3 linked regions of the Arabidopsis thaliana genome follow. The protein of the gene in region 3 interacts with the protein of the main gene of each other region in a pairwise test. Each region holds a gene or a part of one and is shown on either strand. Other genes may lie near its edges.

Evidence for each region. The genes of interacting proteins can lie anywhere in the genome.
Region 1: the proteins of UTR2 (region 3) and AT2G33250 interact in a protein complementation assay, tested with the Arabidopsis thaliana proteins (one large-scale study listed by BioGRID).
Region 2: the proteins of UTR2 (region 3) and AT2G38330 interact in a protein complementation assay, tested with the Arabidopsis thaliana proteins (one large-scale study listed by BioGRID).

Annotation. Positions count from the first base shown.
Region 1 is NC_003071.7:14,094,883-14,099,773, forward strand, and holds AT2G33250 (uncharacterized protein), read left to right. Parts: upstream 1-2,486; 5' UTR 2,487-2,571; coding exon 2,572-2,976; intron 2,977-3,301; coding exon 3,302-3,796; 3' UTR 3,797-3,869; downstream 3,870-4,891. Other genes in the region: XID (myosin XI D), read right to left, coding at 1-5, 74-223, 341-500, 591-649, 759-915, 1,005-1,150, 1,324-1,467, 1,563-1,685 and 1 more; AT2G33255 (Haloacid dehalogenase-like hydrolase (HAD) superfamily protein), read left to right, coding at 3,913-4,246, 4,638-4,680, 4,772-4,832.
Region 2 is NC_003071.7:16,062,262-16,068,459, forward strand, and holds AT2G38330 (MATE efflux family protein), read left to right. Parts: upstream 1-2,241; 5' UTR 2,242-2,309; coding exon 2,310-2,524; intron 2,525-2,604; coding exon 2,605-2,714; intron 2,715-2,800; coding exon 2,801-2,953; intron 2,954-3,056; coding exon 3,057-3,178; intron 3,179-3,280; coding exon 3,281-3,416; intron 3,417-3,568; coding exon 3,569-3,665; intron 3,666-3,763; coding exon 3,764-3,864; intron 3,865-3,942; coding exon 3,943-4,106; intron 4,107-4,246; coding exon 4,247-4,318; intron 4,319-4,406; coding exon 4,407-4,523; intron 4,524-4,604; coding exon 4,605-4,700; intron 4,701-4,786; coding exon 4,787-4,908; intron 4,909-4,996; coding exon 4,997-5,057; 3' UTR 5,058-5,176; downstream 5,177-6,198. Other genes in the region: DREB19 (Integrase-type DNA-binding superfamily protein), read right to left, coding at 5,186-5,920; AT2G38350 (uncharacterized protein), read left to right, coding at 6,080-6,130.
Region 3 is NC_003075.7:12,058,930-12,064,943, reverse strand, and holds UTR2 (UDP-galactose transporter 2), read left to right. Parts: upstream 1-2,085; 5' UTR 2,086-2,457; coding exon 2,458-2,580; intron 2,581-2,941; coding exon 2,942-2,970; intron 2,971-3,051; coding exon 3,052-3,253; intron 3,254-3,343; coding exon 3,344-3,586; coding exon of another isoform or gene 3,587-3,609; intron 3,610-3,655; coding exon of another isoform or gene 3,656-3,683; coding exon 3,684-3,785; intron 3,786-3,868; coding exon 3,869-4,009; intron 4,010-4,205; coding exon 4,206-4,313; intron 4,314-4,361; coding exon of another isoform or gene 4,362-4,395; coding exon 4,396-4,626; coding exon of another isoform or gene 4,627-4,637; 3' UTR 4,638-4,760; downstream 4,761-6,014. Other genes in the region: AT4G23015 (uncharacterized protein), read right to left, coding at 4,362-4,637; AT4G23000 (Calcineurin-like metallo-phosphoesterase superfamily protein), read right to left, coding at 5,297-5,482, 5,561-5,709, 5,867-6,014.

The DNA.
Region 1 (4,891 bases), on a different chromosome or scaffold from region 3:
GCATCCTACAAAAGTAAAATGTAAGAAGAGTTATCCTCATTGCTGATCATGTCAATGAAAAAACAAAAGGTACCTGTTCTTCAGGACTAATTCCAACAACGTCCATAGCTTTCCTCGTAGCTAGGTATTCTTTGGAATCATCAATTGCATCCAATGCATGGCAATTCGATTGATTTAGGTAGTGAAATGTGCTTGGTTTCCCTAACTGATACCGCTCAGTTTCCTGAAATTTCAGAACAGAAGCTAGTTTTCAGTATGAATCCCATATATGGCCAAGCACTGGACATACAGAGCCTTCATATGTTCGACCTGATGTAAACATACAAGGGACCATGTTTACCTGTTCTGGCGCAGCGCAAAGCATGTAAAAGCAATGATAGTTTCTTTCAGGATCAGAAACTTGACAAACTCGTGACCTCTCCAGCAAATATGTTCTAATAGCAGCTCCTGAGATTCTTCCCATATGATTGAACTGAATCTCCACAAATTTACCAAAACGACTGCAATATGAGATTTGCCTACATATGTCAAGGTTGACTTCAAGAACATACATAAACTTGAAAAATCAAGAAATGTGAATGACATTCCACCTTGAATTATTGTTTCTGACGGTTTTTGCATTACCAAAAGCTTCTAAAACTGGATTTGACTGCATAACAGGATCATAATACGAGAAGAATAAGAAGATATCTACAGAGAGAAACTCAGTGAGTCTGTCTCTAGTAAGAATGTAGATGCATTGTAAACAGACTATCTACCTCCAAAACTTGCTGTTCGACAGATCGTCCTTCACTCTCAGCTTTTCCACCCATGTATGCAAGATATTGCATGAGCATTTTTGTGCTCTCTGTCTTCCCAGCACCGCTTTCTCCACTCACCAAGATCGCCTGGCTTACTCCCTCGTTGATCATTTTTCTAAATTTATATTCTTGATGATGGTGAGGCCCAAAAAAAAATGATAGTGCAACATTAGTTAAAGTTTCATCTATGCAACAAAAGATTACCTGTATGCAGAATCAGCAACAGCAAAAGGATGTGGGCTTAACTCGCCAAAATCTGTGCCCTTATATTGCTCCATTATCTCATTTCCATATAGGTGGGGTAATCTTTTAAAGGGATTCACAGCTATCAGTATATTCCCTGTGTATGTCTGTAACCATCAAGAAGAAATTAGCTTGCTACAAACACTTCAGAGAAATATTAATGATATTGCTATAACTGTGCAGTAATTTTCAGCAAAACAATGGTAGAGATAATCATAGAATTCATAAGTGGGTGTAATGAAAGAAGGAAAACTGACAAGAGTTACATGCTGAAGCGTACATATATTTCATTTGCATTGTATCTGGCTTTTAGATTGAGAAGAACCCCTGGTTCATGCAAATACGCAAGCTTTGTCATGTCGTCCACACCAAGCTCAGGAAACTCAGGATCCTTGGGGTGGACAGCATTAACCTTTGCCACAACCTACAAACAAATGCATCACAAATATGAGCAATGTATTCTTAAGGTACCTTAAGAACTAACACATTGTCTCGTTGCTTTGGAGAAAAGGGACTAACCGTCTTGGTTTGGCAATTAACTTTGATCTCTTGACCGTTAGCTTCCACAACTTCTCCATCTAGCCAGGCTTCATCTGGATCTTCCACCCAGACCTGTGACCCCACAGTTACCTTCACTGAAGCCTGATTAAAGTAGAATATATTAGAAACAAATAAAAAAAATATTGTCAAGCTTCATTAGCTGGTTCTTTTGTTCTCTTTTAGACACATCTTATAATGAAATCTAAAATGTAAGGGGCAACATAAAAATCAGCTCAAATAGCAATTATGGTTACAGAAGATAAAAAAAAAAAGGTAAAAATGAAGAACACGGAGAAATCGCAATGCAGATAAGAGAAGAGAGACTCGTACCATTATCACGGCCAAATCTGGTCTGATTTTCCTAGAAATGATCCCGAATAAAGATTTCCAACGGGAGAAACATTAGAAAAAATCCCTGAGAACCCAATCAGCTGGTGTTTCCACACCATGGATCCAAACACCATAAATCAAACACAAAACGCTTCTCTCTCTCTACTAGCTTCAAAATCTCTGATCGACGTTATAAATGCGGAAGATTAAGACTACATTCACGTTTTACGGACGATATTTCAAATTTCTCCGACGATTACAGAGACCTTAAACCCTTCGGCTTTTGCCTTCCAATATTTCCCCAGGAAAGCTGGAGATTCTCGCAGAACGTAAGAAATTTTCTCGCGTTTTCCCTCGGAATATTCTCTCCTGGTTTTTTTTTGTTTTTGCCTTGTTTGATGCTTCGTCTCTCTCTCCCTCGTTTCTGGAAAAAGGAAGAGAAAAGAGAATCCACGTAGGCGTGTCAGGTCAGACATTTGATGATCTCGAAATTACCCCTGCAATTATACCGGATTTCAGTTCTAACATTTCTCCTGGACCAAGCCGGTTTATAGTATTCGATTCTAATGGAGGAGATGATGACAACGTGGCGCAAGTTGAGTGTGTCTATACATGGAGCAGAGCATTTTCTTCACTGTTCTCGCTTCGCCAGACGTTAATGGCGGATAGAGGAGCTCTTTCGTTACCGCGAGCTTCTACTTATCTTAGTTTCTCAAACCTCCATGTCTGGCGATTCCACAACCCTAGATCTTATCCTCCCTCTCGTTCTCAACTCCTCTGTTTCTCTTCCTCATGCTCTAGAGTAACTTCGGCGAAGATAATTCAGCTGAACCGCCGGAGATTCAGCTATAAAATATGCGCCGCCGCTGATGACGGTAGGGGATACCGTTTGACGGAAAGGGGAAAAAGGGGAAGGAAGCGGCGGGAGCTATGGGAAGAACTTTTTGAAGATAATGTTGAAGACGATGATGATGAAGATGATGGTGGTGGTGGAATTGGTAGTGCTAATTTTGACCTGTGGAAGATCTTAGAGGAAATTGTAGATAATGTTTGGATTTTAAAGGTAATTAGTTTCAATCATGCATCTTTTAAGCCTTAATTATGAAATTAGCCGGGAATCTACTACTGCTAATTGAAAATGCTGATTGATTAAAGTATCAAAATTGTTCTTTGGTAATGGTTATGGTGATCATGTAAGAAACAGTTAATATCGTTGTGTAGTGAATCTGAACTAGTTTTGATTTCTAACTAGATAGTGTCTTTCTGCTCAAAGATAAGAGAAACGGCTTTGTTGATATATAGCTGCATTTTATTTGCATACACCAGATTTTGCTCTCTTATTGTTGGTGTGGGATCTTTATTGTGTTTGGTTTATGTTCACTTTGTAGGCATTCAAATCGTATGGATATCTCCTCCCATTCATCATCTTATCGCTTTTCTTCAGCACCGGACCCAAAGCTTTCCTCGTGTCACTAGCCGTAGCAATCGGGCCATCATTGTTATTTTATGCGTTCCAGAAGTTGATTGGTTGGGATAAACGCAGAGGTACATCAATAGCAAATCAATTCGGGATAGAGGAAGAAGAAGAAGAAGTGGAGAGAAGTAGTAGCAGGATTCGATACAACCCATCAACCGTTAGAAACAATGTCAATGGCCGTGGAGTTAACCGTAGTTCAGCTGGAATGGCTTCTAAGTTTGGTGGGTGGGACGAGTTAGACGGGCTTGGTACCACCATTCCCGAACGGCCAACAAGCGAACCGAAGAAGAAACCGTTACCGAAGAGGAAGAGAGTAAGAAGAGAAAAGGCAGCAGAACCATTATTGTTGAGATTGTTGGTGTCTTTGTTTCCATTCTTAAGCACATACACAAACATGCTCAAGTGAAAAACCACTAAACCAAAACAAACCAAGTTGTTCAAATTAAACCGAACCGAAATTGGTTAAAAATAGAGAATAATTATGAGCCTCAATTTCAGTTTGAGCATCACCATTTCTTTTCCATGACTTTCCTCTTATCAAGAACATTTATTTCTCTCACTCTCAGACCTTCTTGTTCGATTTCCATGGCGAATTTAACGACGAACGCTAAAACTCGCCTGAGAGGTGTTGTATTCGATATGGACGGAACCCTGACTGTTCCGGTCATCGATTTCGCCGCAATGTATAGAGCTGTTCTTGGTGAAGATGCTTACAAGCGAATCAAAGCAGAGAGCCCTAGTGGGATTGATATTCTGCATCATATTGAGTCGTGGAGTCCTGATAAACAGCAGAAGGCGTATGAAATCATTGCTGATTATGAGAAACAAGGAATAGATAAGCTTCAAATCATGCCTGGTACGGATTCATCTGCTTTATTTTTTTATTTTTGATTTTGTGTTTGCGCTGAGGAAGTGTTAAGGATTTGGGTTTTCGTCTGATAATCTATCGTAAAATGGGTTAAAGATTGAGAATTTCGTAGAGTTAAAGATGAGAAAAGATTGCAAATTCAAGGCTGAAAGATAAAATGAACATTTGTTAAAAGTGAAGACTTTATGGTCTAACGGAGGTTTGACTTTTGTCTTAGAGCCCCACATCACGATTTGAGATCATTCCTTTACTGGTCATTGACTTTATGCTGTTGAGTTCTATAAGATGATTTAGCAGTTGAAAATCTAGAAGGAGTACTGTGTTTCTTTGGCGTTTAGAGGTTTAATTCTCTTCTGATATGTGATCATTTATGTGGCAGGTACTGCTGAACTATGTGGCTTCCTTGATTCCAAAAAGATAAAGTCTGTGGTTTTCAGATACTTCTGTCTATGATTTTTTGTTTTCTTGTTCAGATAACTTGACTGTTGTTACATTTTGTATTTTACTTTATAGGAGGGGGCTAATTACACGCAATGTTCAAAAGGCAATCGACATCTTCCATCAACGTTTTGAGGTAAGAATGTTGAATTGAAGACATTTTGACAGCTGCCTGAGATAGGTTTAGCTGGATCA
Region 2 (6,198 bases), on a different chromosome or scaffold from region 3:
ACCGTCGGGTAAGTTTCATCTGTATTTTATTAATTAATTACAATTATTAGTGTTCTTATTACCGTTTTGGTAAAATTAGTTAATTAATGTCGGTCCAAACATTCTAAACCAATTATTCTGAAAAGGGTGAACGCCAATCAGTTATATACAATATTCTTACATTAAAGTAGAATCGGAGATGTTACATACTAACCAAAAGTTACATATACTAGTATCATTTTCTTTAAGATTTGTTTAGGATTTACTCACTTTATAGTGCTCGCGGTTGGGGTCAGGGTAAGTGGGGAACAGATATGCTCTGCATGAACCACGTGGACCAACATGCATATACACAGTTACATTTATTTTTTCTAGTAGGTTCATTTGCAAATTTTCCAGTATCTTGTATGTTATCTTCATGGTGAGTTTTTTGGTCGCATATTCTTGGTGATTCTTCTTCTACGTTTTCACTTTCTTCTTCAGAGACCTTATTAATATGTTAATTGCATGAATTTATGTAACATTCAAGAAAAAGAGATCGAATACAAGAAACCGGAAATTTAATTTCTAATTTGAATTCTATGCATGTTTGTTTCTTTGCCAATTTAGTACGAATATATTTATGGTCCGGAGTTCTAACCAAAGATAGTTGCTCTGTATATAGAAGTTATACATCTCGCTTGTTTAAACTAAATAACTATTTAGTTTGTCTTGGTAGTCCAGTGACTTTCTGCAAACATTGGGATTTATAATATAGTCAAAACGTTGGGATATGTAGTATTCATTTTCGTTGTAAAAATCATTATATTTTGCAAAGGTTGCAACGTAAAACGTTGTATTGAATTTAGGAGAAAGTAGCCATTTACAATGAATTTTAGTGACAAACTGTTGTATACAGCCTGTGCCACTAAGTATGTCTATATCTAAATTTGGAATGGATGATAACCAGTATTGGTCAATAATGGATAATTTGGTATTTAGAATTACTAATTTGGTATTTTAGTGACAAACTGTTGTATGGAATTTAGGAGAACGCGTTCCCAAGCTATATATTATATGTATTTCATTCTTTCATATGTTATATTATGAATTGTTATAAAAAAGACCAATGAGCAACGGTTTAAGGTTTAATCAGTAATCGATCCGACCAATCATATACAAGTTCCTAACACATCTTCTAACTACTGAGTAAAATAGTAATGCTATTACAAAGGTTTTTTCTTTTCAAAATACAGCCTAATGCTACTACAAAATTCTAATGTTATAAAATAATCATAGGAGAAGTAAACCCCGGTATTTAATTAATACCTTACAAACTTACATTATTGATAAAGTTGAATGAAGAGTTATATGGTCCATTTAGTATTATTTACTTAATATGATACTAGTGTTAGACGTGTTACTGTATTTCAACGTGCATAATCAGGTTGTTCAAAAAGAGAGAGGATAGGTCTTCTTCTTCTGTAATTTGCTGGGACCGCAAGTCATGTGAGGCTGCTCTGCTGATGCTGCACGGCGTCGCAACTCTCTCAATAAATTCTTTTAACTAACGCTCCAATTTTCGATGTAAATTGGCTGACTTCAATTCTATGCCTTACTCTTGTACTCTATGTTTCTTTATCTATTAAAATCCAACTCTGCTTTTGAACCCAAAAAACAAAACAAAAACCAACTCTGCTGAATCATGAAACACGTCCTTGATCTTTATTTTTATTTTTTCCCAATATATGCTCTTAAGAACTAGTTATTGCTTTTGAACCCAAAAAAAGAATTCTGAGTTTTAGGATATCAAATGATCTTACAACTTTCTATATCAAGATTCTTGAACACTAGATATGCGGATTTCAAATATACTCCCAAAAATCAAAATATGCGGACCTATAATCCAAATTTGGATCCATTCAAAAAACAACTAAACAAAATTTTAAGTGTATAAAAAAAATGCAAATCCAAGTCACAAGATAACTGGAGAAAGAGATATTTCTTTTGAGTTGTTGCTAAATTGAGAAAGTGAGTGATAATACACGAATCAAACTCATGACTTACATATGAGAGTCACGGCACAACAAAGAAAAAAGATGAAGCTATCTTAAAGATACAAAGTGTAACATTGGCAGAAAAAAAAACAAAAAACAAAGTAACAAACAAACAAGCTATTTAAAAGCCCAATAAAAAGCCCATTAAAGGCCCATCCATAAGGTACAGCTAGTTTAGACATGTGACCGTTTAATCAGTTAGTGAGTAGAGATAGATAAAAAGAGTGAACATCAACATGTGGCTCTCTTTCTTCCTCCTCCGCCGAGATTTTTCTCCGTCTCTCGTTCTCCGCAATGGCGGCGGTCGCTACCTCCTTCTGTTTCTCTCCCCATCGATCGCCGTCACGTTTTGGAAACCCTAATTCATCCATTCGAAGAACAATCGTCTGTAAATCATCTCCTCGCGATGAATCTCCAGCCGTCTCCACTTCTTCTCAGCGACCGGAAAAGCAGCAGAATCCTCTGACTTCACAGAATAAACCGGATCATGATCACAAACCGGATCCTGGGTTCGTACCTTAGCCTAATAATGCTTCTTCTGTATTCAACTTTGAATGGTTTCTAATGTATTTGATTTTTTTGGGTTTAGGATTGGTAAAATTGGAATGGAGATAATGTCAATTGCATTACCTGCTGCATTAGCTTTAGCTGCTGATCCTATAACATCTCTTGTCGACACTGCCTTCGTTGGCCATATTGGTAAATACTTACTTTTTGCTTGGTTTCAACAATTTCACATTTTTCGAAAGTTCACATTTTTAACATTCATATGTGTAATGTGACAGGTTCTGCGGAATTAGCTGCAGTAGGAGTGTCAGTTTCTGTATTCAATTTGGTGTCGAAGCTCTTCAATGTTCCTTTACTAAATGTCACAACATCGTTTGTTGCGGAGGAGCAAGCAATTGCTGCTAAGGATGATAATGATTCTATAGAAACAAGTATTTTACTTTCCTTAAAGCTTATAATGAAAAATGTTTTTATTGTTTTCTTCAAAGATTGTTTCTTTACTTTGAATCTGTTGTTTATTTGTTGGTGTTAAAGGCAAGAAAGTGCTGCCTTCGGTTTCAACTTCATTAGTTCTTGCTGCTGGAGTTGGTATTGCAGAGGCCATTGCGCTATCTCTCGGGTCTGATTTCTTGATGGATGTCATGGCTATACCTTTTGTAATGTCTCTAAGCTCACGTTGAACTTCTTTTATATAAGCTGTTATCTTTGAAGTTTTGTATAGCTGATCGCTCTTCTTTCTCGGTTTGTAATTTTTTTAGGATTCACCAATGCGGATACCAGCAGAGCAGTTCCTCAGACTTCGAGCGTATGGTGCACCACCAATTGTTGTTGCATTGGCTGCGCAAGGAGCTTTTCGAGGTTTCAAGGACACAACAACGCCTCTATATGCCGTTGGCAAGTATTGCACAATCATCTATTTTTTTTGTATTTATGCATGAATGGATCTGAGGAAATAAATAGTATATGCGCATTAGCTCACTAGACCGTATATATGCATTAGCAGTTTCACATACATGTTTCTAATATGGTGAACTCTATATCAACAGTTGCGGGGAATGTACTTAATGCGGTATTGGATCCAATCCTGATATTTGTCCTTGGTTTTGGTATCTCTGGTGCTGCGGCTGCTACTGTGATTTCTGAGTATGTCCAAAAATGTGGTAATAGACTCGTTTTCTAGTAAAGCATATCTATCTTAATTTGTGGCTTCTTATGTTTCTCACTTGTCAACGTTTCTTCAGATACTTGATTGCATTTATTCTTCTATGGAAGTTGAATGAGAATGTAGTTTTGCTCTCTCCTCAAATCAAAGTGGGAAGAGCCAACCAGTACCTCAAATCAGGTAATTCCTTAAAATTTTCAAGTTTTCTTTAAACGATTCAGAAAGGCTACTATATGAAATGTATTGATTCATGCTTAGGTGGGCTTCTCATTGGTAGAACGGTGGCTTTGCTTGTGCCATTCACATTAGCTACTTCGTTAGCAGCTCAAAATGGACCCACTCAAATGGCTGGCCATCAAATCGTCTTGGAAATCTGGTTGGCTGTCTCTTTACTCACCGATGCTTTAGCCATTGCTGCACAGGTCTAATATCTTTTGCAAATCATCTTCGAAACAGACAATCTCTACCAAGATTTACTGTGATATAAGAATCCCATTAGCATGATCCAAGATTACCTTTTGGGGAGAAGATTTTCACTTATATTTTCTACCTCTATTTTCAGAGTCTTCTTGCCACCACTTACTCTCAAGGAGAATACAAACAAGCCCGGGAAGTTCTCTTCGGAGTCCTTCAAGTTCGTATTCATAATTCATTACATCCCTAGTTTATATCCTACCCTATATATTCGATGTTATAATGTACAATTGCAATCTTTTAAGTAGGTAGGTTTAGCAACTGGAACTGGTTTGGCTGCTGTATTGTTCATCACTTTCGAACCATTTTCAAGCTTATTCACAACGGATTCAGAAGTTTTAAAGATTGCTTTGTCAGGGACCTTAGTAAGATCTTATCTTTTAATCCAGAAAGAGTTTGAAAAGGGTAGTCTCAGACAATATCTAAATAATGTTGGCTGGATGCAGTTTGTGGCTGGATCTCAACCGGTGAATGCTCTAGCGTTTGTTTTGGATGGGCTCTATTATGGTGTCTCTGACTTCGGATTTGCCGCTTATTCTATGGTCCCTTTTCCTTCTTCATCAATTGGTCGTTTGATTCTCCCTTTTCTTCACCTGGAAAAAGTTGATTATTTCTCATTTTGGAACAGGTGATTGTCGGATTCATATCTTCCTTGTTCATGCTTGTGGCTGCACCAACGTTTGGCCTTGCCGGGATCTGGACTGGTTTGTTCCTCTTCATGGCGTTGCGGTTGGTTGCTGGAGCCTGGAGGTAAACAATTAATTAAAAAGACCGTTCTAGTTTCAAGTTTTCAACCCATCCGAAATTTTTCTTAAAAGGATACTGCGTCATGTTTCAGATTGGGGACAAGAACCGGTCCATGGAAAATGCTATGGTCTGCTCCAGAGAAGCCAGAATGAAGCGGATCACTGTTTTTTGCGGTATGATGCGTGACTCTTAAGTTAAGATAAATGAAAATGGAGTAAACTAACAATGTAAAAAACATAGTCTCATAGTCATAGTATATTGATGCAGCATAAATCCTAAGCTAGAATCTGAAATACTCAAAATATGAATCGAATCCACCTCCCTGGTGATAACTGGAGCTTTGAGGTTCATTATACAACAATCCGTTATCCAATTTGAATCGATCATAGCTGTAACCTTCCTCTGATTTCACTGCTGGGTTCACTATTTCATTATCAGTCATAGGATTCTGAGTCTTGTCATGGCCAAGCTCAATAGCGTCTTCATTGTAGACTACATAGTCTTTTCCACCTTCCGTTTCAATCACGCCATTACCGGCTTTGTTAGTTTCCAACCAATAGCCTCCCGAACTTTCCGCCTCCTCGTCCTTCTTCCTTCCCCCACCCAAATCTTCCGGGAAATTTAACCTGGCATAGGGTCCGTACATGACACTAGCAGCTCTGTCGTAAGCCAAAGCAGCTTCAGCTGCAGTAGCAAACGTGCCAAGCCAAAGCCGTTTACTACGACTAGAGTTTGCACCACGGTGACTCACTGGTTCACGTATCTCAGCAACCCATTTCCCCCAAACCCTTTGTCGAACACCTCTAAACCGACAAACAGGATTCTCTGGTCCACCTTTTCCTCTCATACAACCTTTCTTCGAACCTTTGGCTTGAACCCTACGAGCTCTCGCCAATCCTTCTTCCTCCCATCTCTGTAACGTCGCTTCCACTGGCTCAACCACTCTTCTTCGTCTTCTCGAGGATACAACAGAAGCAGAGGAGCTCTGTTTCGATCCGTTATCTTCCTTTTCCATTGGAAAAACACAACACGTACAAACTGTAGAAAATATTACGGAGCGCAGTACAATCACTATTAAATTTCGAACATAAAACCAAACAATAAACTATAAATTTTTGTCTGCATAGATTGTCCTAGAATTCACCAGAGCCTTCAGAAATTAAGGTGGGAACACATGTCTAGATACCGTCTAAGAGAACACGCGTGGTGCTTACGACAATTAAATGTACGGCTACAAGACACGTGGTGACTTCCCAGTTTAGGCAGATTCTGGTATGCTAGGATTTGTTTTTC
Region 3 (6,014 bases):
AGGAGACGTAACCGCTAACTAGTGTAACTGGACCTGCCTTCGGTGTTTGGTAAGATTCCGGTACTCTGTACAAAATGGCTGAAGCTAAGGCCCACACTATTTGACCGTACGTCACTGGATTGTTTCTCTAACGACTTTGATTCTTTTACTCGCTTGAGTTTGAATGTAAATGTCTGATTTTTTTTTAACAAAAAAGAATAAAATATATATCTACATAAATCTATAGTTTTCTAGCAATAATATTGTTGTCAATTTGTGAAATGTGATGGGTTGCTTGCATATGCAAAAGTCTCTCGATCGAAGTCTTCCGTTTATTATGAACCACACAAATGGTTTTAAGCAAGAAAAATATCTACGAGTAAGATCAATTTTGTTATGTGTAGAGATTATCATTTGTAACTTTATGTATTAATACAATTGCACGTAAAGCTTGACCTTCTAATAGAAATAAATTTGATAGGAAAAAATCTCTAATACCAATTGCAATTTTTTTGTTGTTGTAATATTGCAGTAAGCTCTCTCATTTAAGCCTTTGAACAAAAAATAAAATAAATATCAGATTTATTGTTGAGTTTCGCGTTGGTATTTCAAGAAAAGAATATGGTCTTTGGCTTTTGACCAAAAAAAAAAAAAGAATATGGTCTTTGGCTCTTTGCGACGCCTATATGCATATATGATATTTGTATGACTATAGACTCATAGTTAATTTATTTTCTATTCCATTTTAACTTATCAGTGTCACTAATCAAAGCTATTATTAAACGGTCTATTTTAAAACAAACCATTTTGTCTATATGCTATTTCATATACGACGATTATAATCGCTTCTTTAGAACTAATAGCCAATAATAATGTATATTTCGACTGTTCACCATACACCGCCACCTAATTCTTCTAAAACATTTCAATTCATTGACTAAATATCGTCATTATTTTGCTTACACATTTTGTATATGTTCCTCCAAATTTGTTCACTAGAGTTTTCAACTAGAACAAAACAACTACTCTGTTGGTGAAAGAATGAATATGCATGTGTGAAGTTTATTGCTCAATATGGATATAGAAGATGAAAAGAAAAAGAGTAAATTGATTTCTTTACCAAAACGTGTCCAGATGTTATGTCAATATGTAATTCTGACATGACCAGAACTTCTGTAACGCATTTAACAATCACTTCCGAAAATAACAAAAACAAAATTCAGGAAAGATGATGAAATTGTAAAAGACAGACTGTAATGGCGTCTATTGAGACAATGACTCAATCTGTCTTAAACCGGAAAGTTGACTCGTAAGCCATATTGATTATCTTTATTAAATTTTCCTTTTTATTCTCTTATTCTCTCGAAGTAGTAACTTTCTTTTGCATCAAATAAAGAAAATATGAAAACGCACCCCTAAAGTTTATCTTATTTTTTTTATTAGTGCCTCTAGTTTTCTAATGTGTAGAGTCAGTGACACACTTTCTTTTTACTTTATATCAAGATTTGATGATATCATATGATTTTAGACTTCTAATTAAGGTTTTTGTAAAAATTGTCACACTACTTTTTTGAATTCTTTCACTTTTTTTAACAAATGTTATTTAGAAAACATAGTCAATATACAGATCCTAAATGTAGATAAAAATTTACAATTTTGACTAGCAAGATCTGATTTGATATGTTTCTTATATATCAATTTTTACCCTTATTTGTTCCATTTTACTTTGATACTTTTTTTTATAGACAAATTTAGATAATTTTATTTGATAAGTCATAGCATTTATTTTTCTTATTTTTATACCAAAATTTATTATAAATACATTTTTCAAACAACACATATACAACACAAACTGTCATTAAAACCCAAATTTTATATATATATATATACCAAGCTGGTAATAATATGATATGATCGTAATTAGCAAACATGAGATCATGCAATAAAAGACTTAAGACAAAAAAATGTGCCACGCTGGTAATGCAAATTTTGTCGTGGTGTGTAGATAAACAAAAGTTTCAGACTTAAATCAAACATACATAAACGTTAAGGGTCTTACTTGCAAATTTGAGTTTTACCGGTAAAAAAAAGAGTAACAGGAAACGTAAAAAGAAGAAGAAGAACGCTCAATGGAGAAAAAACGTGTCCCGAAGTGGCAAATCACGCGACGAGTCTCTTCTTCTTCTTCTTCTTCATGCGTTTTCTCCTTCCTTCTTAAAAGCTCTCTTCTTCCTCCTCCTCTTTTACCAATACATCTATTAACTCTCTCTTCCCTCTTCATCAAGTTTCTCGAGGAGAGTGAAGAATTTGGTTTTAATTATTCTTTGATTACCCTTTTTGTGGTGTGGTTTTCGTTATTTCGAGGAGTGATAATAATACCGTTATGAGTCATCACTTTACATGTGTTTGATCAATTACTCTTAATTCACTTTCTGGGTTTCTTCCTTTGAATCTCTCCTCAAAGAAAAGAAAAGAAAAATGAAGGAGGAACAAACAAGATCTCTGTTTGGAATCTCTTTGTCTGATAAACCAACTTGGCAACAGTTTCTCATTTGCACTTCTGGTTTCTTTTTTGGTTATCTCGTTAACGGTGTTTGCGAGGTTCGTTTCTCTCTTTTTTGCAATTTGATTCGAGAATTTTGATACATAATCAATCAACGTTAATGTTTTTGTTTGTTCTTTGTCATAATTCCACATACCCAGCTCCTGAATCTCGTAAATTTATAATTTTTTTGCATTTTCAATCTCTTGCATGCTAAGTGTTTGATGTTTTGTTTCTGAGAGAAAAAAAAACAGAGGAAGAAGAAAAAATTGCATGACGAACTAAACTCTCTCCAAACTTGTGAGAGATCACAAAAAATCTGTGATCTTTGTAAAGAAAACAGATTTTAGAGAATGTGATTGGATCTACAAGTACTCATATATGATCATTGACTTGATTTATTTTTCTTTGGTTTTGCAGGAATATGTTTATAATCGTCTTCAATTTAGGTAAAAGTCAACTTTTGATTACTCTTTTAAGTTTTAGATTTGAACAAAAGTTAACAATGGGATTTTGCTCTGTCTTTGTAGCTTTGGGTGGTATTTCACGTTTATACAAGGATTTGTCTACTTGTTTCTAATCTACCTTCAAGGCTTTACCACAAAGCATATAGTTAATCCGATGAGAACTTATGTCAAACTCTCTGCTGTTCTCATGGGTTCACATGGTTTAACCAAAGGATCTTTGGCTTATCTCAATTATCCAGCTCAAATCATGTTCAAATCCACCAAGGTAATAGATCCACATTTCCCAATTACAGTCTCAATGAGTTTAAATTGAGTTTAAAGAATGATCGGAATGACCATCTTTCGGATGTTTTAGGTGTTACCGGTGATGATAATGGGAGCGTTTATACCCGGTCTTAGAAGAAAATACCCAGTCCATGAATACATTTCAGCGTTCTTGCTTGTTCTTGGTTTGATCCTATTCACATTAGCCGATGCGCAAATGTCTCCAAATTTCAGTATGATTGGGATTATGATGATAACCGGTGCATTGATCATGGATGCTTTCTTGGGTAATCTGCAAGAAGCTATCTTCACAATGAATCCTGAGACAACTCAGGCAAGGAAACTAAAGAAAACACGGTTCTTTCGGTTTTCCTTTACCGGTCTGTTTTGTTTCGTTTCTGAGATTAACTCTTGTTATGTGTGTTGTGCAGATGGAGATGCTTTTCTGCTCAACAGTTGTTGGATTACCGTTCTTGTTCGTTCCCATGGTTTTAACCGGAGAGGTTTTTCGTGCGTGGACTGCGTGTGCACAAGTAAGTAAACAACCTCTGTTCTCTTTTTTCTGGTTTGACTTTTGGTCAACCTTTAACCAAACCAAGTTAACCTTATGAGATAGTCGTCCATTTTAAGTGAAAGTGACAAAGAGTGGAACCTTTTATTTGGCTTTGAAAGTACTTCTATAGATTTGACTCGGTTTATGATTCAAACCGGAGTTGGACTCAGTTTAGAGAAAAAGTCAAAATTTGTAGGATTCTTGGTACCACGAAATGAGAGAGATCATTGACCGACGACGTGCCTCTGAATCTGCCAAACTTTTTAAAAGCCAAATTGTCTCTTTTAAATTCATTGATTCCATAACTTAAGTACCAACGTGGAATATTTTATAGTCAAACGGTTTAATGATTCATTGGTTGACATATTTAAAACCAATTGTGCTTTGTTTATATTTGCAGCATCCGTATGTGTATGGAGTGCTTGTATTTGAAGCCATGGCCACATTTATCGGTCAAGTCTCCGTTCTCTCGCTTATTGCTCTCTTTGGAGCCGCCACAACTGCCTTGGTAAATATCTAATCTTATCTTTGAATACTCATTTGTATTTTAATTGACTCAATGGTCTAAAATCACATTTCGTTGTGTGTAGATAACAACGGCTAGGAAAGGGGTTACATTGTTGCTGTCGTATTTGATATTCACAAAGCCGTTAACGGAACAGCACGGATCAGGCTTGCTGTTGATAGCAATGGGGATTGTATTGAAGATGGTTCCAATGGATAGTAAAGCTCCGGCCAAGATTCCGGCGAGACCAGCGGTTAGGATCGCAGGAGGCGATGGTGATAGAGAAGAGGACGAAGAAAGGAAGTCATTGGTTTGAGAATGTGCCATGTATTTATATATATTTTATCTCACAAATTCAAAGGGTTTATAGAATAATGTTGGATGAAGGAGACACAAAATAGAGTTAAAGTTGTGTCAGAGACTTGTTATTAGATTCTAAAGTGAAATTGCAAAAGATTGAGCTGTTAAATTGTTAACTATGATATGAATTATTTTTGTCATCACTCTCAGAAGAAAGCATTATTCGTCTCAAAGCCTATTCATAAAGCGGGAAACGCTAATGACTACATTCTAAACGACAGGATCAGTGAAGAACCTGATTCTATCTAAGATCCTCCAGTTTCTTTCTCTGATCTATGAATAACAAACTTATCGACAATCTTTACGGTGTTGACAGGATCCTGCTGCAATGTTGTTGCACACCATTTGCTTGGAAACCTTCTGTGATGACTCATTTTCACAGTCGATCTCGGCTCTGCATCCCAGTCCTTGTCCAGCTTCCATTCCTTTGGCACCTGTACTCATTCATCACATACACTCCTCTGTTTAATTCTATAATCACAAACTTTTTCTTTTGTCATTTCGAGAGTTGTTTTTCTCACCTTGTCTACTCCGAGAGTGAAGACTTCAAGGTCTCCATCAGGTTTGATGTTGGAAACGGGTGAATGATTTGTTAATTGGCGATCCGAAGTGAAGAAAATGCTTCATCAAAGTGTATGTGAAGCCAGTTGATGGATATATATAAGTAACTTCCAAAAACCAAAGATACAACAGGGGTTGAGAAGAACCCAAAAGTAGAGGAACACAGAAGCATAATAGATGGCTTGCTCCGCTTCGAGAAAGTGACTCCCATTCCTTTCTCGACAGATGTTAGTCCGTGTAACCGCCATCACCTATGTCAAATACTTTACTTTCGGCTGAAAAATAGTTTTCTATTTCAGCTAAAACGAAGGCTAAGTTGACGATTTTACCTCGGGAATATCAAATGCTGACATAAGATACTTGATGCAGGCAGGATATAATCCGAACGTCCACTGCTCAATACGGTCTCGGAGGCCAGTAGGGTCCGGAAAATGTTCATTTTCTACTGATTTGTACCACTGATACAATGTATGATACCCTGTGTAGCAAAAAGTTTGAAAATCTCAAAATCCATTAAGGTTTGATCACAGATACAAAAAAATATCAATTAAAGTAGGATCACATATTTTTTGTCCACTTGTGTCAATGACATTGTAATGAGGAAAGCCACAACATTCTATGGAAAGGAAACTGACCGGAGTTTGCAAGGAGCTTATGCTGAATACAGATTTCTATGCCGAGTTCCAACAGCAACATAAGAATCAAAGCAGCCATCAGGTGTGCAGAAACATGAAGAATTCCAATTAACAGTCGTTTCCTCCGAGATATTTTTGAGGGAACAAA